2 linked regions of the Rattus norvegicus genome follow. The protein of the gene in region 2 binds, or shares a complex with, the protein of the main gene of each other region. Links are inferred from orthologs where the notes say so. Each region holds a gene or a part of one and is shown on either strand. Other genes may lie near its edges. The genes, in order: Fuz and Wdpcp.

The links.
Region 1: the proteins of Wdpcp (region 2) and Fuz are in contact, whole or in part, in a cryo-EM structure (PDB 7Q3D), measured with the Homo sapiens proteins. The link is inferred for Rattus norvegicus from reciprocal best matches to the Homo sapiens genes WDPCP and FUZ. Residues at the interface, in NP_056994.3 of Homo sapiens: Arg55, Ile57, Asn75, Lys78, Leu82, Glu418, Asp419, Arg420, Leu421; in NP_079405.2 of Homo sapiens: His293, Glu372, Glu373, Pro374, Arg379, Gln397, Pro399, Thr400, His401, Gly402, Ser405, Leu406.

The regions. Positions count from the first base shown.
Region 1 is NC_086019.1:104,514,398-104,518,955, reverse strand, and holds the start of Fuz (protein fuzzy homolog), read right to left. Parts: upstream 2,881-4,558; 5' UTR 2,744-2,880; coding exon 2,633-2,743; intron 2,417-2,632; coding exon 2,295-2,416; coding exon of another isoform or gene 2,243-2,294; intron 2,104-2,242; coding exon 2,019-2,103; intron 1,759-2,018; coding exon 1,690-1,758; exon of another isoform or gene 1,675-1,689; intron 1,490-1,674; coding exon 1,385-1,489; intron 147-1,384; coding exon 1-146. UniProt on the Homo sapiens protein: Probable planar cell polarity effector involved in cilium biogenesis. May regulate protein and membrane transport to the cilium.
Region 2 is NC_086032.1:99,845,994-99,850,576, forward strand, and holds the start of Wdpcp (WD repeat-containing and planar cell polarity effector protein fritz homolog), read left to right. Parts: upstream 1-1,550; 5' UTR 1,551-1,810; intron 1,811-4,583. Other genes in the region: Mdh1 (malate dehydrogenase, cytoplasmic), read right to left, coding at 1,155-1,157. UniProt on the Homo sapiens protein: Probable effector of the planar cell polarity signaling pathway which regulates the septin cytoskeleton in both ciliogenesis and collective cell movements.

The sequences.
Region 1 (4,558 bases), on a different chromosome or scaffold from region 2:
GGCAAGGACCCCACCAGCCAAGGGAGTAGCACGGCTTCAGGCATGCCTAGGCGCCACCAGCCATCGGTCGCTGCCACCACCCGGCCTGATACCAGCAGGCTGACAAAGGCTGTGCCAGTGGCCTCTGCGAACCCTGAGAGGGTTTCCTGGTGAAACGGTCAGACTAGATGTCATTAGGCAAGGAGGGACATTCCCTTCCTAGCTAGGCATGGAGGAGAAGAGCAGCCATGAGACCAGAGACACTCCAGCATGCAAGGCTGCCAAGCTCCTGTTTGAAACCCTCTCTGTAAATAGGGATGCTTTAACTTTCCTGTTCGTCAGCATTCTCAATTCTTCATACACTACTTATTTTATCTATTTATTTATTTATTTTTTGGTTCTTTTTTTCGGAGCTGGGGACTGAACCCAGGGCCTTGCGCTTCCTAGGCAAGCGCTCTACCACTGAGCTAAATCCCCAACCCCTGTTTATTTTTTAAAAAAAGATTTATATATAAGTATACTGTAGCTGTCTTCAGAGACACCAGAAGAGGGCATAAGATCCCATTACAGATGGTTGTGAGCCACCATGTGGTTGCTGGGATTTGAACTGAGGGCCTCTGGAAGAGCAGTCAGTGCTCTTAACCACTGAGCCATCTCTCCAGCCCTGTTCGTTTCTTTCTTTCTTTCTTTTTTTCTAATTTATTTCTCCTTCAGTTATGGGGATGGAACGCAAGGCTTTGGGCATGCTAGCTAGGCAGCTCTCCCGTGGAGCCACAACTGAAGTTTTGAGTCATGTGTTCACTGAGCTGCCTAGACTGGCCTTAAAGGTTGCATCCTCTTCCTCAGCCTCCAGAGTAGCTGGAGTGACAGGCCTGCACCAGGAGGCCCTGCAGTGCCAATAGTTTTAACCACACATCTACAAGTTGATCCCCTACTGGATGAGAAGGCACAGTGCTGACCAATGGAAGCTCTGAGGTCAGGACACACTGCCAGGAGAGGCATAACTTGAAGAGAGGAAGACTGGGTGGGTGTGGTGGAGCATGCCTTTAATCCCAGCACTCGGAGGCAAAGGCTGGTAGATGTTTGTGAGTTGGAGGTCAGCTTGGTCTACAGAGCGAGTTCAAGGCAGCCTGGGAACTGTGTCTTAGAGAGATTGATCTGCTCAAACAGAAATGCTCCCTGTGAGGCAGAGAGGCAGGGAGCATGTGAAGTGGAGGAGACTGGAGAGGTGGAAGCTGCGGGCGAACAGTCAGTGTACCCTGGCGAAGACAGTTCTTTTAGAGTTACAGATAAAACATGATTCCAGGACGATAAGAGGGTGCTAGGGCAATGTCCAGAGGGAGAAAATAAAGGAAGGCCGAGTAGAACCATGGGGACACAGTTATTTCTATAGCTGCCCCAATACCTGCATGACAGACCCCTCTGGAGGAATGACACAGTCCACACACTGGGTCAGGTCCCCGATGAGCTCTGAATTCCCCAGGAAGCTGTCAATGAGACAGTAGCTGGCCTGGTAGAGGAAAAAGGAGGTGTCTAGGACCCAAGCGGGCCCAGATCAGCCCAGAGAAAACTGGGGCCAGCTCCAGGGTTAAACAAGCTCTCCCAAGAACCCAAGGGCCCATGCTTTCCCAGTGCCTACTGGGAATTGTAGTTTCAGACAAACAGGCCTGAATTAGGGATCCTAACTGCACTCACATCTCACAGCCTCACCCTCAGCTCTTTCTTCAGTCTCTCTACATTCCGGATATTGGTCAGCTCCTCAAGTCCCACAATGAGAACCTAGAAGAGTCACATAGGATAGTGGGATCTGTAATAGGATCTAGTCAGAGAGGACAGTGCTTGGATGGATATTGAGAGGAAAGTCAGGTCTGGATCCCTGCATATGAAGGAGGAGGTCTGGTTCCTGGATTGCTAGGTATGAGGGAGGAGGGCTGTTTGGATGCTTGGGTGTGAGAAAAAAATGTAGGGATTTGGACTGAGGGGAAAGGACTGGGAGTGCAGCTCTCTTGAGTTTTGGAGAAAAGAGGGCCCAGTCTCACCATGGCCCCAAACACCATGTGGAGCATTCTTTCCAGCTTCAGCTCAGAGGTGCCCTCCTCAGATGACAGAGCAATGAGGGTGATGCTGTGGGGATGAAAGATGAGAAGCAAGAATGAGGTCAGGCCTGGGAAACTGAGCCAGGCGCTTCCGTGTGTCCCAGCTATTTCTACACTGTTCGCTACATCCTGATGGGGGTGGGGGTGGGGAATCCCTCTGGGATCACCTAAGCCAGGAACCATTGCTCAGATCTTGTTCCCTTGCTCCCGCCAAGGGACCTGTCATGGAAGTTCTTCCACACTACGGTGGTGTCTTCTGTTCTTGCGGAGTTCAGTTGCACATCCAGATTCTGGCCGAACATGTGGACTCCATTGAGGGACCCGATGACAGAAAAAGGGAGCTGAGGAAGAGTGGGGAAGCATTGCAGTAGCACCCAAGACCCATTGAGACCCCGCTGTCCCACGTTGCAATCTCCCAATATTCCCCCAAAGTTCTTCAGGAAACCAGATTTATTAGTCCCCCATAACAGCTAAAGGGCGCGAGCCTCTAATCCCTGCATGTATGCAGTCCCAGCTTCCCAAATCCTAATTTAGACGCAGGAGTCGAATGCCCCCACCTGTTGACGGGAGGGGGCGCCTCCGCTGCTGCTCCGACAGAACAGGGGAACCCCGCTAGAGGCTGCGAGGCACAGCAGATGCACCGTGCTTCCTGGCCCGTCATCCCCCATCTCGAAGCCCGCACCCGGAAAGTCACGCCCCTGGAGACTCTCGGTGTGGATCTGGGAGCATGCGGGTAGGCAAAGTGGCCTGCTGTTTGGAGCCGCCAAAGGGCGAGAAGCGGGATCATCAATTCAGCCCCTCCAACTGGTCCGGCCCCGCCCCGGCCGGAAGTAATCATGACCCTAATAAAGATGGCGACAAGTACTTCTTGCCAAGCATTCAAGTTGTTCCCGGACAGTTTCTTATCTTTTGTATAACGAGAATGAAGAATCTAGCTTGAAGACGGTGGTGGTAACAAGACGTTGCCTACCAACCTTCTTGTGTGCTGTAATACATTTTTTAAACAACGGGTTGAAGATGGGGACAGTGCTAAGGCATTGAATGGCAACGACAGTCAGCGTGGCTTTTTCATTCCATAGTGGTAAATACCTTGCCCTAATCAAAGATGGCGGTATGCTCAGGCATTGCCTAGCAACCACCATTCACAATAATTTCGGTTTCAAAACTCCGAAGCTCCGTGCCACCGTCTCCCTCTCCTTTTTTCAGAGTGGTTTGATCCAGGCAGCGTTGCCTAGTAACCACCAAATGAGGTGGTTGTTTTTGTTATTAGTAAAAGGCAGAAGAAAAGAGAACCTTTCTTTTCCAAAATCATGAAAACTACATAATTTTTGTAACGAATTCATGCCTATGATGGTATAGCGTGAAGAAAGTTAAAGCACGGTCGACACCTCTGTCTCCTGCGTGGGATACGTGTCGGCCCGGAGATCCCCGTAATAGATCTCCGTAATAAACCTTGCCTTTGCTTATTACATCCAAAAAAAAAAAAAAAAAAAAAAAAGGAAGTTAAAGCACTGAAAACTTCCTTCCATTGCAGCAATAGAAGTTAGCATCGCGGGACCAGGACAGATTTTCACAAATAAGATCACTGTATTAGAGAACCCACTCCACAAAGCTGACCTTCTTATGCGTGCCATGGCGTACTCGCTATAATAATCACATTTTATTTTCTAATTAAAAATAGTATGTCTACAGCTTTATGTCTTTATTTTCTATTTCCTGGGAGGGTTGCAATCTGTAGGCCAGGTTGGCCTTGAACTCCTGGCAATTCTTTGGCCTGGAATGGCAAACGCCAGGCACTCTCATTCTTTCTCTTTTTGTTTACTGTTGTTTAGTGTATTTTTGAGGTGTGGTCTCATGTGGCCCATGCAGACCTGGGACTCGATATGTAGCCCTGAACTTTTGATTCTTTTTCTAACACTTGTCTTTCTAATGTTTTTTTTTTTATATAATCAATTTCTATAAGTTCAAGGACTTGAACATTTTCCATTGACAAATATTAGATTTCTCCTGGTGAATTTCTTTTTTTTTTTCTTTTTTCTTTTTTTCGGAGCTGGGGACCGAACCCAGGACCTTGCGCTTGCTAGGCAAGCGCTCTACCACTGAGCTAAATCCCCAACCCCATGAATTTCAAATGATACAATAAAACAAAAGAATTTTTGGAGACAAAATATTGCTATGTAGCCAAGGGTGGGGTTATGCTGGATCTAACCCAGTGTTGCCACTGTCACACCCTTTGCTGATTCTGTAAATTCTGAGGCAGCAGTTTTAGCTGCTTGATTACTGTATGTTTGACAGCAATTGCTTTTTTATTATGCATATTAGAAAACATTTTTAGTGGTTTATTTATTTTTATTTCATGTGCACTGGTGTCTTGCTTTAATGGATGAAGGTGGGGTTGGGGATTTAGCTCAGTGGTAGAGCGCTTGCCTAGGAAGCGCAAGGCCCTGGGTTCGGTCCCCAGCTCCGAAAAAAAAAAGAACCAA
Region 2 (4,583 bases):
AGAATAAAGAGACCCTCATGCAAGCCTTGTGACCTTGAGCAACTTGTATTCTGGGTATCAACAAACTAAATTTTAGTATTTGAAGTAGGGTTTTGGATAAGATGATTTTTAAAAAGGTTTTCACATAGGTCTAATAGCCTAAAGTTCGAAGTTCTTGGATAACTAGTGCCGTTTTATGACTAAAATTATTAAGGTAGAAACTGCTTAAGCCATAATTTAAATAACTACTTATGTGCAAAAATAACTAGGCACTGATGACAGAAAATTAATAGTTATCCCCTTACGGTCTCTTATAGAGGTTAAGAGGAGTTTTTGTCTTTGTTTGAAAACATGTCTTTTTGGGTTCTGTGAAATTTCCAGTCCATCCAAAAAATTTCCAATTCATCTCACACATCTTGAAATTAAAGGAGAACAAGTATTTTTAAAATGTAAATTCTAAAGTACGTAGCAATTTCCAGTCTGGTGGCAAATGTCACCTTCAAACAGCACGAAGATTAGTCCTACGTCAGAGCTCTTTCACCCCCCTCCCCCGCCCCCAGCTGGGGACAAGATAGATCTAGAGCTTCGACAAGATGGTTGCGTTACATCTGCAAGAAGGTTTTTGGAATTCATGACGGAGTAGTAAAGAATACCCGCACTGTTTGACTAGCTACGCTAACCAGTCCTGGCATTACAAACGGAGATCAAGAATAGGTTTTCAGAAACATCTGTTTTCTTTTAAATTAAATATGGTGGAAACATGTCTCCTGAAAACTGGGATCATAACCTGGGGCACTGCCTCAACATCAGAGGCCTATTCTTTCCATGAGCTTAAGAGGCAAAATAGAGTTAGGACCCGATCTTCCCCTCCCATCAAATCACATCCCCCACATCAAATCCTTTAACGTCCTTCGGAGAAAATTTGGTCCCTCAGTCATGTGCAAAGATTGAGACCCGCCTTTCCAAGGACAGCGATTTCTCTAGAGTGCTTTTAAGAACCCCCAAGGGAAGCGAAACCCTTTCCAATTTCTGGGTTACTGCGACAGTCGCGAGGGTGAGTCGGATTTGCAAACCGCGCGAAGGACAGCGCCTGGCATTACTGCTTTTCTAAAGCGCATCAAGCGCAGGAGGCCGAGAGGCCGGAGCCGCTGCAAGTTCCAGGAGCCCACACTCACCATTATTGCAAACTGCAAGGCCGATCTCTGCACCAGCAAAGACAGTCTCCAGCAGTCAGGTCACCTCTACAGCGGAACAGACTCTGGGAGACAGAGCCGGGCTGGTCAGGAAAGGTTCGGCTAAAGCCCCGGCCATTTCTGGGAAGTGTAGTTCTTCTGGGGCTCTCTGGCGCCCACCTTCGTGCATTCCTGACAGAACTAAACTACAATACCCAAAAACCTCTTCTTCCTACGCGCCTCGCGGACTGCAAAGTAGTCCCCGGGGCTGAGCCTCTGTGATTGGAGCACGACTGCGAGCAGAGGGTTGGTGCTTTGGATGAGGCGCCTGCCTGACGTCGCTCACCAATTGGCGGGAGGGGAGGCGTTAACTCGAGGGAGGAGAAACGACCCCTGAGCGACAGCACCCGCCACTCCACCGAGAATCTATCCTCCCCCAAGACTAAACAAGGGAGGCAAAGAGACCTTCCGTTGCAAAAAAAAAAAAGCCAGCTCGACCCGGAAACAAAACCTTTTAAAAACGCACTCTCTCAGAGGCGGGAGGAATTGACGCTTGCGGAGGAACCGGCAGCTTCACCGTTGCTAGGCGACAGGGAAGGCTCACCTGAACGCTCTCGGAACCGAGACAGAGTGGAGCTGCGTCCCCACGCCTGAAGCAGGTGAGCTCGGCCGGGAGGGATTTTCTTTTTATCTAGGGGCCAGAGCAGGGCGCGGCACGGTTGTTCGTATCCTGAATCCGTAGTCGGCAGGCGTGGGCGACCTCTCGAGTCCCCTGTTGGGGTCAGGAGTGGATGCCACAGTTTTCTGGAGGGAAGAGTGTCTTGCAGTTTGAGTTCAGTCCAACTTTTCCAAAGTAAAGTCAGAAAGGTTTGTGGAGTGAGCCCCTTCCCTGTAATAGCCGGTGGTGCCGGGATCTAACTTTCTTTGCCTACTGTGAACACTGACACTTTTTGCTCATTCTCTTTTTGGAAACTGGATGAGCTTTACAAACGTCTTGATAAAGTTTTGCCAGACCCGTTATTTCCAGGGGAGATTGGGACACACTGGTTGTTTCAGGCGGAATGTTAGCGGCTAAAACAACTCAAGAGGTTTTCACTGAAAATCAAAGTTGTTAAGGTGAATTTCTGCATTCTCTGTTTTGAGCGGATATTCGAAAAGACGCGAAGCTTCGGAACAGATCAGTGAATATGGTATTGGTCTAACTTCAGAATTTAACGTCACTAGAAAATGGATGCTGGATGGCTTCAGTTTTGTTTTTGTATTTAGTATTTGGAGAAAGAAACATAATGCCTTAGGGTCTATTTTAGTTAGGGCTTCCACTTCTGCGATGAAACGGCCTGACCAAAAGCAGGTTAGGGGCAAAGGATTCATTTGTCTTACACTTCCACATTTTGGCTCATCATTCGAGGAACTCAATACAGGTAGGGACCTGGAGGGCATGAACTGTTGCAGAGACCATGGAGGGGTGCCGCTTACTGGCTTGTCGCTCTTGGCTTGCTCAGTCTGCTTCCTTATAGAACCCAGGACCACCAGCCCAGGGATGGCACCACCCATAATGGGCTGGGCCCTCCCTCTTCAACAGTAATTAAGAAAACACCCCATGGGCTTGTCTACAGGCTGATCTTATGGTGGAAGCATTTTTTTCAGTTGAGGATTCCTCCTAACTTAAGACTGTATTAGCTTGTGTCAGGTTGACATAAAACTGCTGGGTCCAATAGCATTTAGGTTTCAATAGACTGTATCTCACTCGAATGGCTCCTAGAATCACTTTATTCACTTGGTGCCTTCCTTTTGTTCTTGAGCACTAATCTTTTTACGTTGGAATGCTTCCTGTGTCTCTGTCCACACTTAGTTCATTTGTGGGTTGCGTTTCTAAACGTTACCTCAGTGTCAGAGACTCTCTGATTCCAGGGCATGCCTCTGTACGTTCTGTTTCTCCTTGGTTTTCTAGTAGGCATTAGTTCGGTTGCTTTATAGTCTTACCTACTGAGGAACCATGTGTGGATACATCACACTTTTGATAGAGAGAGCACGACTTGCCTCCAGTTTCACTTGATGGCTGAGGGAGAGATTACAGGATTTCGAAGTGAAGAGCCAAGGGCTGGAGCTGATTTAATGCTGACCTGATAAACCTGCCACGGGACCTTAGGATAGCAGTCTTAGGAACCACCGTAGCATGGAACAAAACTTTGTAATTCCTAATGGTAACATGGTGATCTCGTCATTGTTAAAAGATGGGCTCTGTCTTGGAAGCCTCTCATAAGGGGTTAGGCAGCTACGGTGAGGACACAGAGCTGTGTGTGTAGTGCTGTGGTGGGCTGGTTAGTTTTCATTGATTTGACAGAAACTAGAGTCACTCGGAAGGAGAGAATCTCCTGAGTGCTGGGATTAATGGTTACCACTGCTGTAACTTGGGGGAAGAAAGGGTCTTTTTGGCTTATGTGTTCACACTCCATTGTTGTTCATCATTGAAGGAAGTCTGGACAGGCGTGCAAATATGAAAGGTAGTTGAACAAACCAGTGAGCAGCATTTTTTTTTTATGGTCTTTGCTTCAGTTTCTGCCTTGGGTTTCACTAATGAAATACTGTGAAATGGAGGTGTAAGTTGAAGTAAACCTTTCCCCCCCCCAAGTTGCTTTCAGTCAGTGTTTTATCACAACGTTTGGTGGAAGACAGTCATTACCCAGAACAGAAGCGTGTCCTTAGAGTGAGCTCATCTTCAGGGAACCATTTCTTCTACTATTGGATTTCCTGTGACATGCGTAACTTCTGAAATGCGGACTGATCAGGAATGGGCCTTGCAAAGCCAGGAAGCCCGATTCTTTGCCTCAGCCATTGTCTTCTATCTTGAAGAATCCATGTTTACAGTCAGGATGTGTTTATGACTGTTCAGACTCAGATTGTACCAGTAATAGAGGTTGGAGAAAGAGGAGCCTACTAAGGTGTCTATTTTAATACATCCTTAGCTTTCTTTTTTTCTTTTTTAAGATTTATTCATTTATTTTATGCATCAGTACACTGTAGCTATCTCAGACACCCCAGAAGAGGGCATCAGATCTCATTACAGATGGTTGTGAGCCACCATGTGGTTGCTGGGACTTGAACTCAGGACCTCTGGAAGAGCAATCAGTGCTCTCAACCTGAGCCATCTCTCCAGCCCCATCCTTAGCTTTCTTATCTTGCCTGAGCCAAGGCTTCTTACCAGCCAACATCTAGTTCTTCTCACAGTTCTCCATTTTGGATTCTTTTTTGGCTTAAGTCCATCTCTTCTTTTTCTTCTCACGTGTATGTGCTGTGTGTGTGTTTGTGTATGTTTGCATATGTGTGAGTGCACATGTACCTGAAGATACCCTTGTGTGTGTGTGTGTGTGTGTGTGTGTGTGTGTGTGTGTGTGTGTGAAAGTGTGTGTAAGTAGAGGCCCGAGGAATCTT